Linked DNA regions of Tribolium castaneum. The protein of the gene in region 1 purifies or fractionates together with the protein of each later gene. This does not show direct contact. Links are inferred from orthologs where the notes say so. Each region holds a gene or a part of one and is shown on either strand. Other genes may lie near its edges.

Evidence for each region.
Region 2: the proteins of RNA-binding protein cabeza (region 1) and mle purify together in Homo sapiens (affinity purification with mass spectrometry; 4 studies listed by BioGRID and IntAct, with this or other methods). This does not show direct contact. The link is inferred for Tribolium castaneum from reciprocal best matches to the Homo sapiens genes FUS and DHX9.
Region 3: the proteins of RNA-binding protein cabeza (region 1) and Sf3a1 purify together in Homo sapiens (affinity purification with mass spectrometry; 3 studies listed by BioGRID and IntAct, with this or other methods). This does not show direct contact. The link is inferred for Tribolium castaneum from reciprocal best matches to the Homo sapiens genes FUS and SF3A1.

What each region holds. Positions count from the first base shown.
Region 1 is NC_087395.1:19,586,611-19,589,059, forward strand, and holds the end of RNA-binding protein cabeza, read right to left. Parts: intron 1,992-2,449; coding exon 1,873-1,991; intron 1,674-1,872; coding exon 1,403-1,673; intron 1,199-1,402; coding exon 850-1,198; intron 800-849; coding exon 754-799; 3' UTR 554-753; downstream 1-553. UniProt on the Homo sapiens protein: DNA/RNA-binding protein that plays a role in various cellular processes such as transcription regulation, RNA splicing, RNA transport, DNA repair and damage response. Binds to ssRNA containing the consensus sequence 5'-AGGUAA-3'.
Region 2 is NC_087394.1:36,799,327-36,803,086, reverse strand, and holds the start of mle (dosage compensation regulator), read right to left. Parts: upstream 2,807-3,760; 5' UTR 2,264-2,806; intron 2,211-2,263; 5' UTR 2,210-2,210; coding exon 2,128-2,209; intron 2,085-2,127; coding exon 1,601-2,084; intron 712-1,600; exon of another isoform or gene 625-711; intron 572-624; coding exon 1-571. UniProt on the Homo sapiens protein: Multifunctional ATP-dependent nucleic acid helicase that unwinds DNA and RNA in a 3' to 5' direction and that plays important roles in many processes, such as DNA replication, transcriptional activation, post-transcriptional RNA regulation, mRNA translation and RNA-mediated gene silencing.
Region 3 is NC_087397.1:12,575,573-12,579,232, reverse strand, and holds the end of Sf3a1 (splicing factor 3A subunit 1), read left to right. Parts: intron 1-2,054; coding exon 2,055-2,195; intron 2,196-2,244; coding exon 2,245-2,395; intron 2,396-2,445; coding exon 2,446-2,621; intron 2,622-2,671; coding exon 2,672-2,845; intron 2,846-2,897; coding exon 2,898-2,999; 3' UTR 3,000-3,057; downstream 3,058-3,660. Other genes in the region: xylulose kinase, read right to left, coding at 3,061-3,267, 3,373-3,644. UniProt on the Homo sapiens protein: Component of the 17S U2 SnRNP complex of the spliceosome, a large ribonucleoprotein complex that removes introns from transcribed pre-mRNAs.

The DNA.
Region 1 (2,449 bases):
TCACACTAAATAATCGCTCCCTAACAATACGATGAATGATTACTTTTAAATTTACTATCAGACTAAGTTTCTTGAATATAAAATTTCTCAAAAAAATCACAATTTGTTGATGTGCCAACACTGGAAATTATTTCCTAGGAAACCGTTCCAAAAATACTTATTTTATTGTTGATCAAAATCTATTGCGATCACGACTGTTAGACAGCGTATTGGCCGTTTCAAAATTATAAAAACGCCAACGTCGTATTTTCTCTCAAAATTAGCTGTTATAAATTATTCATGCATTTCAAAAAAATAATAGCTAATGTTAATTTATACCTTCAATGAGAGATCTAATCCCCAATAACCATTTTACAATGTTGTGAATCTTATTTAAAGAAATAATTCGGTAAAATGCGACGTTGGCGTTTTTATAATCTTGAAACAGTTAATCGCCAGATACCATTTATTAAAAATTCGTTATTGTGAAGTTTTGAAGAAAAAAGTTGTTTATGAGTTATTTTTTGACTTTGCAGGAAAATGGAATTAGGAAAGGTCATACTATAACAAAAAGTAATTTGTACTTAAAAATGTATTATACATAAAATAATTATTCACTAAACATGCCATACTCGTGACCACTCAACTTCTCGTGTTGTGTAATTACTAGAAAACACAAAGCTTTAAATCTTATAGATCACCTTATAAAAACTGAAATGAATATGATACTGTAATGGAAATAAAACACTCATGAATCTATTTGGAAAAAATCTTCTAATACGGCCTGGAACGTCCTCCATCGCGACCGCCGCCACGATCCCTAAACATCAAAATTAAAATCTTTCCTACACCAAATTTTGTCACAAATACCTTCCGCCTCCTCCTCGACCGCCGCCGAAACCGCCTCGGCCTCCTCTTCCACCGCCAAATCCGCGACCTCCTCGATCACCACCGCGGAAACCGCCGCCACCACCTCTTCTATCTCTTCCACGGTCACGGTCTCTACCGCCTCCGCCGCCGCCTCCTCTGCGATCTTCACCCCCGGAACCGGCACCTTCCGGCTTATCTTCACTGCATCTATTGCACTGATTCCTCCAAGCAAAATTTGTGTTGCCACAGTCTGGGTTTGGACATTTCCAGTCTCCTTCGCGGCTTTCGCGGTCTCGGCCACCGCCACCACCGCCGCCGCCGCTACCGCCTCCACCACCACCGCCGAAACCTATACCAAACAATTATTGTTTGCCAATCAAATAAAAAAAATGTTTCCCTAGACAGGATACATCAGAAGCAACCAAACTGCTACTGTGTGTTTAATGGGGAATTAATCTGCCCCTTAAAATAAAAACAGATTTTGGCCTATTTTAGACAAATCTGGGTCGGAAGGGGTATTAATTTCTTTTAAAAAAATTGCAAACTCACGTACCTCCATCTCGGCCTCTTGGGCCTCCTCCAAAACCGCCCCCGCGGCCGCCACCTCTTCCACCTCCGCGGCCGCCACCGCCACTCCAATTATCCTTTTTCGTGGCCAACTGTACCCTTATTTGAGTACCACCGAATTCTTTCCCGTCGAACCAAGAAATTGCTGATTGAGCTGCATTGGAATCGTCATACGTAACAGTGGCTTCACCCTTTGAAAGTCCGGTCTGTTTATCTTTATACAACCAAATCTTCCGTTTCTGGGTTTTCTTGTCCATCTAATCGGAACGAAATAATCATTTCAAATTTGTCAAAAATGGAATTCTTTGTAGCAGATTGAATACACTTGTTTGCAAATATTTCTTGCAATCAAGGAATAGCATCTGTCATAATATTGCGACACATCAAAATTGAACTTGGTCAAGAAAGTGAATCCAAGCACAGAGTGCAGGTCGCTGAGTTTAGTCAAATACTTACTTTAATCACGCCAATCGAACCAAAATGTTGAGCAATTTCGTCTTCGGTGAGATTTGGATTCATTCCAGACACAAAAATCGTGTCGACTTGAACCACCAAGTTACTGCCGCCGCCATTATCTGGAAATTAATACGAAAATGATGTCAAGGGTGAAAAATAATAATTTTACTAAAATTAATTGTTGCGCCAACTAACTCAGTTCTCAAAAACTGTTTCACATCTTATGGTGTGTAAAAACAATACTATATACCTTTTCTCTTACTCTCTCACTCTGAATAAACCTTAAACTTGACCATAACGCACCTTGAAATAAATACCAATTTTTTAATTTAAGACCATTGCGTTTTTGATGCCATTTTACCACGCAATGAAGAAAAAAACCTTCTACAAAAAATAAAGTATGCACTTAGCGCTCAAACGGACAGCATTAAAAGTACTCCTCAATCGAAATTTGTCAAATACGTATCACAATATACCCAATAGAACCTTTTTATTTAATACCAATGAATATAAAAGGAAAAACTTTATTATCCTTTTACCTTTAATATATATATATTAAAATCATAGTACCTCATAA
Region 2 (3,760 bases), on another chromosome or scaffold:
AATTTGCCCCTTCATTGAATACACTGGCAAACCTTGTCTCTCACTAATGATAGCTTTCAAATCAACGTCATGATTCAATTTTTGTTTGGTTTCTTCGGCCAAATGTTCGCTCAACTCGTCCAAGTTGGCGTTGGCAAGGGGGCCCTCATCAATGTTGCACCCAGTCCAAGGATTCCAATTTTGTTGAGGAGGCGACCATGGGACAACTCCTGCAGCTATCGGTTTGGAGGCTTGAAAGTCGTCCAAAATGTGATTGCTCAAAAGTGAAACCGGTTGGCTTTCGCTTTCCGGTTTAACCTCAACCGGAGTGATATTCAAAGTGTCGAGGCAATCTTTGATTTGTTTTTGTAAATCTGGGGAGATTTTTACATCGAAAGGTTTCATTTCACTGCCGGTTTTCTCTTTTTTAAGTGTTCCGGAAAATGCTTCAATTACACCGAGATGGAACAGTTGGCGAATGATGGAAAGAGCGCAACTTTTACTAGCGGTTTGCTTATTTGAACCGGAATCACGACCGGTTATTGTACGTCCGAGTTGCTTGACGTAGAAGCTCATTTCGGCCACAAAAGTCCTAAGAAATGGGAGCATTACAGTTGAGAAATAGGGGATTAAAAGTATACTTACAAGTGTATAATGCAGAGTTTTTATATTGTACCTTGGAGGAAAAACAGAACCAAGAACAGTAAAATATTTGAGTTGTTCCCACGGTAGCTGCAGTGGAAAATTATTATTTAAGAAACTACTGCAAGAAGTAAAACAGAAGTTTCATAAATAAAAAAATGACCTCAAAGTTACTAATTTTTTAATCAAACCAGTAACTCTATTATCAAAATGCCATTCAATTGGTTAAATAAAACATAAACGCATTCACAACTTCCTTCTTTCCAGAAAGAAAATCGTGAATTTTTTGGTAAATAAACGAAATAAATTATTCTATCCACTGTACTTAGTTCTGCTTTTCCACCTCTACTATTTTTTCTCTGCAGAAAAAAATAAAAAAGATAGAAAAATTTTAATTTCTTCAATCTTTCATTTTTTTCTAAAAATTTTCAAACCATAAATAGTCAAACAATAACAATAATCCTTCTGGCAGAAATGTTGGTTTTTTCAAAGCCAGAAAAAAAAATCGTGAATGGATAAAATAATAATGAAAATAAATTATTCTATCCACTGTTCTTGGCTTTGCTTATCTGTCTTTACTCCTTACATTTTTTTATTATTTCTTCTATTGGTGCCTCATTCTCTATTGCAGATTTAATTAAAAAAAAAAAAAAACAACATTTTTTCCTTCTTTTCGTTTTTTTTTCTATTTTTGGTATTTTTTATTATGTATATTTATTTTATTATTACGGTTCTTTCTTTATTTTTTATTCTCGTTCTCTTATACAAAAAATATTTAAAATAAACAGTGCAGGGGAAATGTTAAATTTCCAAGGCCAGAAGAAAAACGTGAGTAAACAATAAACAAAATAAATTATTCTGTCACTGTTCTTGGTTATGCTCTATTATTTTATTATTTTTCAGTTTTTCTACTGTGCCTATTTTTCTCTCTCTCCTCCCCCCACACAAACTTCCATCTACTCACTCTCTCAATACCAACCTGGAATGGTCTGGCCCCACTTGCGTATACTTATAATCCGCGTGTATTTTATTGCTTTGCATAAACTGATGCAGCTTTGACTTTGCATTCTCCACAGTCCAATTGCCATGAATCTGAGCATTCACATCCAAATCCTCTGCATCCTCCACACTCTTCTGTTCCTGCGCCCTGTTCATGTAATGCCAATCGTCGTGATCGCGCCCCAGAGGCCTGTAGGCCTCCCCAAACGACGAGGGCCCCATTCCCTGTCGAAACACCGAAGGGGCGGGCCCCCGATTCATCGGAACGGTGTTTGGACCTGGAGGCGCATCCTGGAAGTCGGGCACGTCGGCGGGGTTAACAATGCCTTCCCGGACGAGGTAACTGACGAAATCGCGGGCGGCGTTGCTTTGGGCGTCCTTTTTGTTGGTGGAATTGCCAGCCCCCACGTAACTGTAGCCATCGATGCGGACTTCGCAGAGGAATCTCTGGCGGTGTTTGGGGCCTTTGGGGAAATTAGTAAAGGGTGAAAAGGGGCTGCGGCTTACCGGTTGGCCGGACTTCAAACTGGGGCTGCTCTTTCTTGGTCTTCTGGCAGAACTGGTGCAAGAATGATTTTATATCGGACATCCTATTGAAATTTCGTATTTTTTAATCGAAGAAAATGCCGGTAAAAAATACGACCTTGGAAAAGTTTTGACATTTAACCACAGAATAGAGTCCGCGAAATGACAGATCGTCCACGGTGGTAGGAGTGCGCAGAGACGAAAACTCGTCTCGGACGAGTCCAATCTTTAAATTAGGGGTGTTGGCAGAAAACAGTGGCGTGGCGTGTACTTACATGTGTAGGGAATTCGTCTTAAAGTTTAACATTTCAATATTACCAGTTATAGTAAAGATACCAGTAGAAACATTTTTTGCAATAAACGCGTTTTTACTCTTTACTCATTGTGTATTTTTATTTATTCGACCTCTCTGCTTTGTATTTCTAGGAAATCAACGTGTATTAGCATTAGATATGATTTTTACTATTTCATCTTGCAATTATTGAATAGAGGAAATTTTAACTACTACAAATTATGAATCTCAAACCCTTCTTGATCATAGAATAGTTTTTTGCTACGCCACTGCTCAATCTCCTCACTCGATGAAGTACGCATTGGCTCCGCCTATCGTGGTCGTTTACAGAGTTTCCGAGCTCTACCACTAATTTTCGCACTAAAATTTCACATTGCCAGTTTCTGTTTAAATATAAACATGCATTTTTATTTTTCCATTAACTGCATGCGAAACTTTTATAATTTTAGACGTTTATAGACAAATACATTTGTCATAATTAACTTTTCTAGATCAATACTGTTCTATTTTGAATAATTCTGTGTATGAATGTTTCTAAATTTGACGGATTTGGACAGTGAATGTTTCTGGTTATGACTTGTTTTAGACGTGTGATGACGTCACATCCGAGGTTAGGTGTGCGGCGCAGGCGGCGAGGGCGGTTCAGTCGACAGCGAGCAGTGGCACGGGTCAGATCGGGAGCGGAAGCGGGAGGCGAAGCGAGGTGAGTCGGTTTATTTAAATTATTGTGTATTGTGCGGTTTCGTTCAATTTATTCAGTTTGTTACTTGCCGTTGTCGCGAACGGACGTGTGTTCAAGCAAATCTAAATTTTCCGGTTTAAATTTTCAATTCGGTGGCTAGTGATCGCGTTTGAGTGACACATTTTAAATACAGTAAATAAAATTATTATCAAACACTCAAATAATTTATTGCCACGTAATAATTTTGTCTTTAATTTCAATGAATGAAAGTGGCTTGCTCAAAATTTAATGCAAATAAACATTTTTTTGGTTTCATTTTTATTATTATTTTTTTTAATGCTACAAACGGTAGCCAACGAGGAAGCGATATGAAGGTAGGTGTATTTTATTGCTGTGTCGTATTTATTTATTTCACAAACCAATAATTTCATAAAACTTAATTGCAATTAAAATCTTTAAATGCGGTGTTGAAAGTGACATTTTGAGTGACGCATTTTAGATACAGAAACTATAAATAAAATAAAACACTCAAATAATTTATTGCCACGTAATTTTGTCTTTAATTTCAATGAATGAAAGTGGCTGCTCAAAATTTAATGCAAATAAACATTTTTTTGGTTTCATTTTTATTATTATTTTTT
Region 3 (3,660 bases), on another chromosome or scaffold:
TGATCGCAATAGAATTTGAGCAACAATAAAAATACATTATTTTTGAAACGTTTTCCTAGGAAATAATTCCCAGTGTTGTCACATCTACACATTGTGATTTTTTGGATAAATTTTAATTTTTGTAAATTAAAAAAACTGCTAAAGTCTGATAGAAAATTTAAAAATAATTATTCATCGTTTTGTTACGGATCGATTACCTGGTATGAAAATAAAAACATAAAAAAAATGAGAACTGAAGAAGTTAACAAAATAAGTTTGTAGCTCCAGATTTTTTAAAATATGACTTTAGGAATTTTTTCAACATTTTTCCCGTAATCTGCACTTGCTTCTCAATAACGTACTACTGAGTTGGTGCGCCAGTTTTTGAGCACCATCTTCGACGAAATCAAACTAATTGGAAAAAAGTTTACAAACCTTAAAATTTTAACATATTTGAACACTTCTACAAGCTATATATCAGTTTTTTCAAATGGAATTTTTATTTCAGTAGGTGGAAAAATGTAATTCTTCAACGATCTGTATTAGCATTAACTATACCTATCTGTGATAATTTTTAAGTTATGTTGGTTTTTTTTGACATTGCCCGAGGTTCCTTACTAGCAAGAGCTATTTTTGCAGAGTTTTACAAGGAAACATTTCTCACTGAATAAGCGATAAGCTCTGTTCAAAATTTTGCTTTCCTTTCCATTAAAACAAATAAATTCATTGAATTTAGATTTGAAAAACTTTAGATTTCTTATACAGGGTGTATCAGGAATACGTGTCTTAATTTTGACAGGTAATAGACTTCAGCAAATATAAAAACATTCTATTTGTAATTTTTCAACAAAAAATTCGCAAATTTACTTAAAATTTGGAAAAAGATAACATACTGAAACGTGTACCTGCCTATGGGTACAAAAATAAGAGAGCCGAACTATTTTCATTGTGATAGAAACGGAACATGTAAACAATTTAAAATAACAATAAAAATTGTTGCTATGAATACAAACTAATTATTAAACACTGACCGACTTGTTTCCACAAAAGAAACACGTATTTTTGATACAACCTGTATTTTACTCATGATTCCATGGCAACCTCGATGGCAACGCATGCGAAAAGCGCTATGGCATTTCTCAATACCAACAAAAAAATTCGTATAACTGTATGGAATTGATACAAAATTAAATTTTCTACCCTTTAGTGAAATAAAAATTGTGGAATTTCATTTAAAAATTTTGAGTTATTGGTATTTGGAGTGCTGCAACTTACTTTTTTAGTGTGAAGACACCAAAGAAAAGATTTTTTCTTTCAAACAAGCCAAAAAGGATTTAAACATTAAAAAAAAGCAGATTTTTCAAGTCAAAGATGCAAATCAAAATTTTTCAAAAAACTAAATATTTCGAAACCGATTAAATATAAGTATAAAAAAACTATTAAAAACTCCCTTAAAATAACTCAAGTAATCCAAAAATGCATTATTAAAACATAAATAGCTTTCCATTTAAATTAAGAAAGTTGATAACTACTTATGGGATAACCTTATTGAAAGTATTTTCATTGATCAGACTTAACGGATTATGGTTGTATACAAATTTTCAGATAACTATCATTATTTAGAACTCCCAATTCCCAATATATCTGGGGTTTAGACGGAACAGCGTGTACATAAATAACATCCAAATATCAAACAAATTTTTTTTCCGTTGGAGGTGGGCTTATGATAACCGTGTACTGTGCCGTGTTTTTTAACTTTTTAATTATTATACTTTATGTGAAATACTCTTACATGTTACGATTCTAATAATCTTTAATTTCTGGGTTTGTTTTTTATTATTAACTGTGATTTTTTAAACTCCCATCTCTATGATGAAAAGAGAAGGCATTATTCACGATGTTTTTATTTTAGTTACTCTTATTGTCGGTCTGTTTGCTGTAATTTCGAAATTTTCGATTTTTAATTATTATCTCGGTTCGGCTCTAGAGTTTGTCGTTTTTCTTTGTTGGTGAGACGCACATGTCGCGTCATTATGGCTATTGCGGTGCAGTAAAAAACAAACAAACATTTTTAGGTGAAAGGGCTATTGCCGGACGAGGAGAAAGAGAAGATCGGTCCGAAAAACGTGGTTGGTAGCAAAGCCCAGGCTAAAGTTAGCGCTGCGGCCGCTGCCGCTGCTATAATCTCTGCGAAACCTCTCGCAAATCCAAACCCGGTAAGTATGAACAGATTCCGTTCATTTCTCACTTGTATATATTGCTTAGCCGGTTAAAACCACACCGGTATCAGCAGTTATGCAAACACAAACTCAAACCATCGTTCAGGTTCCACAGCAAGCCACGATGCTACAACAGACGTCCATTATGATGATGCCAGCGCCGCCTATGGCTCCTATGCGGCCACCACCACTCATGAGTAGGTTTTTTTTTGCTTTTAATGAAACAAGTTATTAAGTTTTTCATTAGTGGCAGCACCTCCACCCATGGCCGGTTTTGTCACACCCATGGCCCAGATGCCACCCATGGGCGGAATGCCGGTCAAACATCCAAGTGAGACGCAACCGGAAGAAGAACCGTCGAATAAAAAAATGCGAAATGAGGATTCACTCATCCCTGAAGAAGTTTTCTTATCACGCAATCCGGTACGTTTGATCAAGTGTGCGCATGTCAAAATTACAATTTTAAATTACAGAATCCTGTTTCGATTAAAATCGCCATTCCGGTGGTTCCCGAAAAGACAGAATGGAAATTGACGGGACAAATGATGGCGTTGAATGTCCCACTTTCCGAAAGTGTTTCTTCAATCAAATCGAAAATACAGGAAGAGACCAATATGCCTCCGGCGAAACAAAAATTATTTTATGATGTAAATTTAATTATTAAATTTTTTTTGTTGGTTACTTATTTGTTTTTTCCAGGGCATGTTTTTCAAGGATTCAAACACGCTTGCTTACTATAATATCATCACGGGGGCTGTAATACAACTACAAGTGAAGGAAAGAGGTGGTCGCAAAAAATAAAGTGTATTTAATCAAGAATTCAAATAAATTATCACTAGAATGGTATATTTATTACGTATATTCAGACTTTATTTCCTAAAAGCATAGCCTCCAACTTTCTATATCGCGCAACCATTGGTTCGTAGATCTCACTAGCGTCGGAATATGGTTGACAAATGAGTCGTGGTGGGGGGAGACATGACGTAATCTCAAAGTAGTTACTTTGAGAGCCCAAAAGTCCGTGTTTCGCTTGATAAGCGGCCCCCAACATGGCCGACTTCGATTCGTCCTACATGAGTTACATAGTTATTTTTTCTATACTTTTGACAATGGCAGCGGCTTTTTGACTTTTAAATACAGTATAAAAACGCTAGTTAAAAAAGTTAATACTCACTAGGAGGTAAACAGGTGCGTTGAAGACGTCCGAAAGCACTTGAAGAATTGCTTTATTATTGGAAGCACCTCCCGTTGCTAGAATCTTCGTTTCTTTGTCCAATTTAAATCCAATGTCTTCGACGTAAGCCCGTCTTGCGATAAACTGTCCTTCAATCAAAGCCCGGACTTCGACTTCCAAACTTGTAAATCTTGTCACTCGTTCATTGGCTTTATTAAACCTGTAATCGCCGGACAAAAACGGTAGGATCTCCTGGACGTCGTAGTACAATCCTGAAATCGCAAGTTT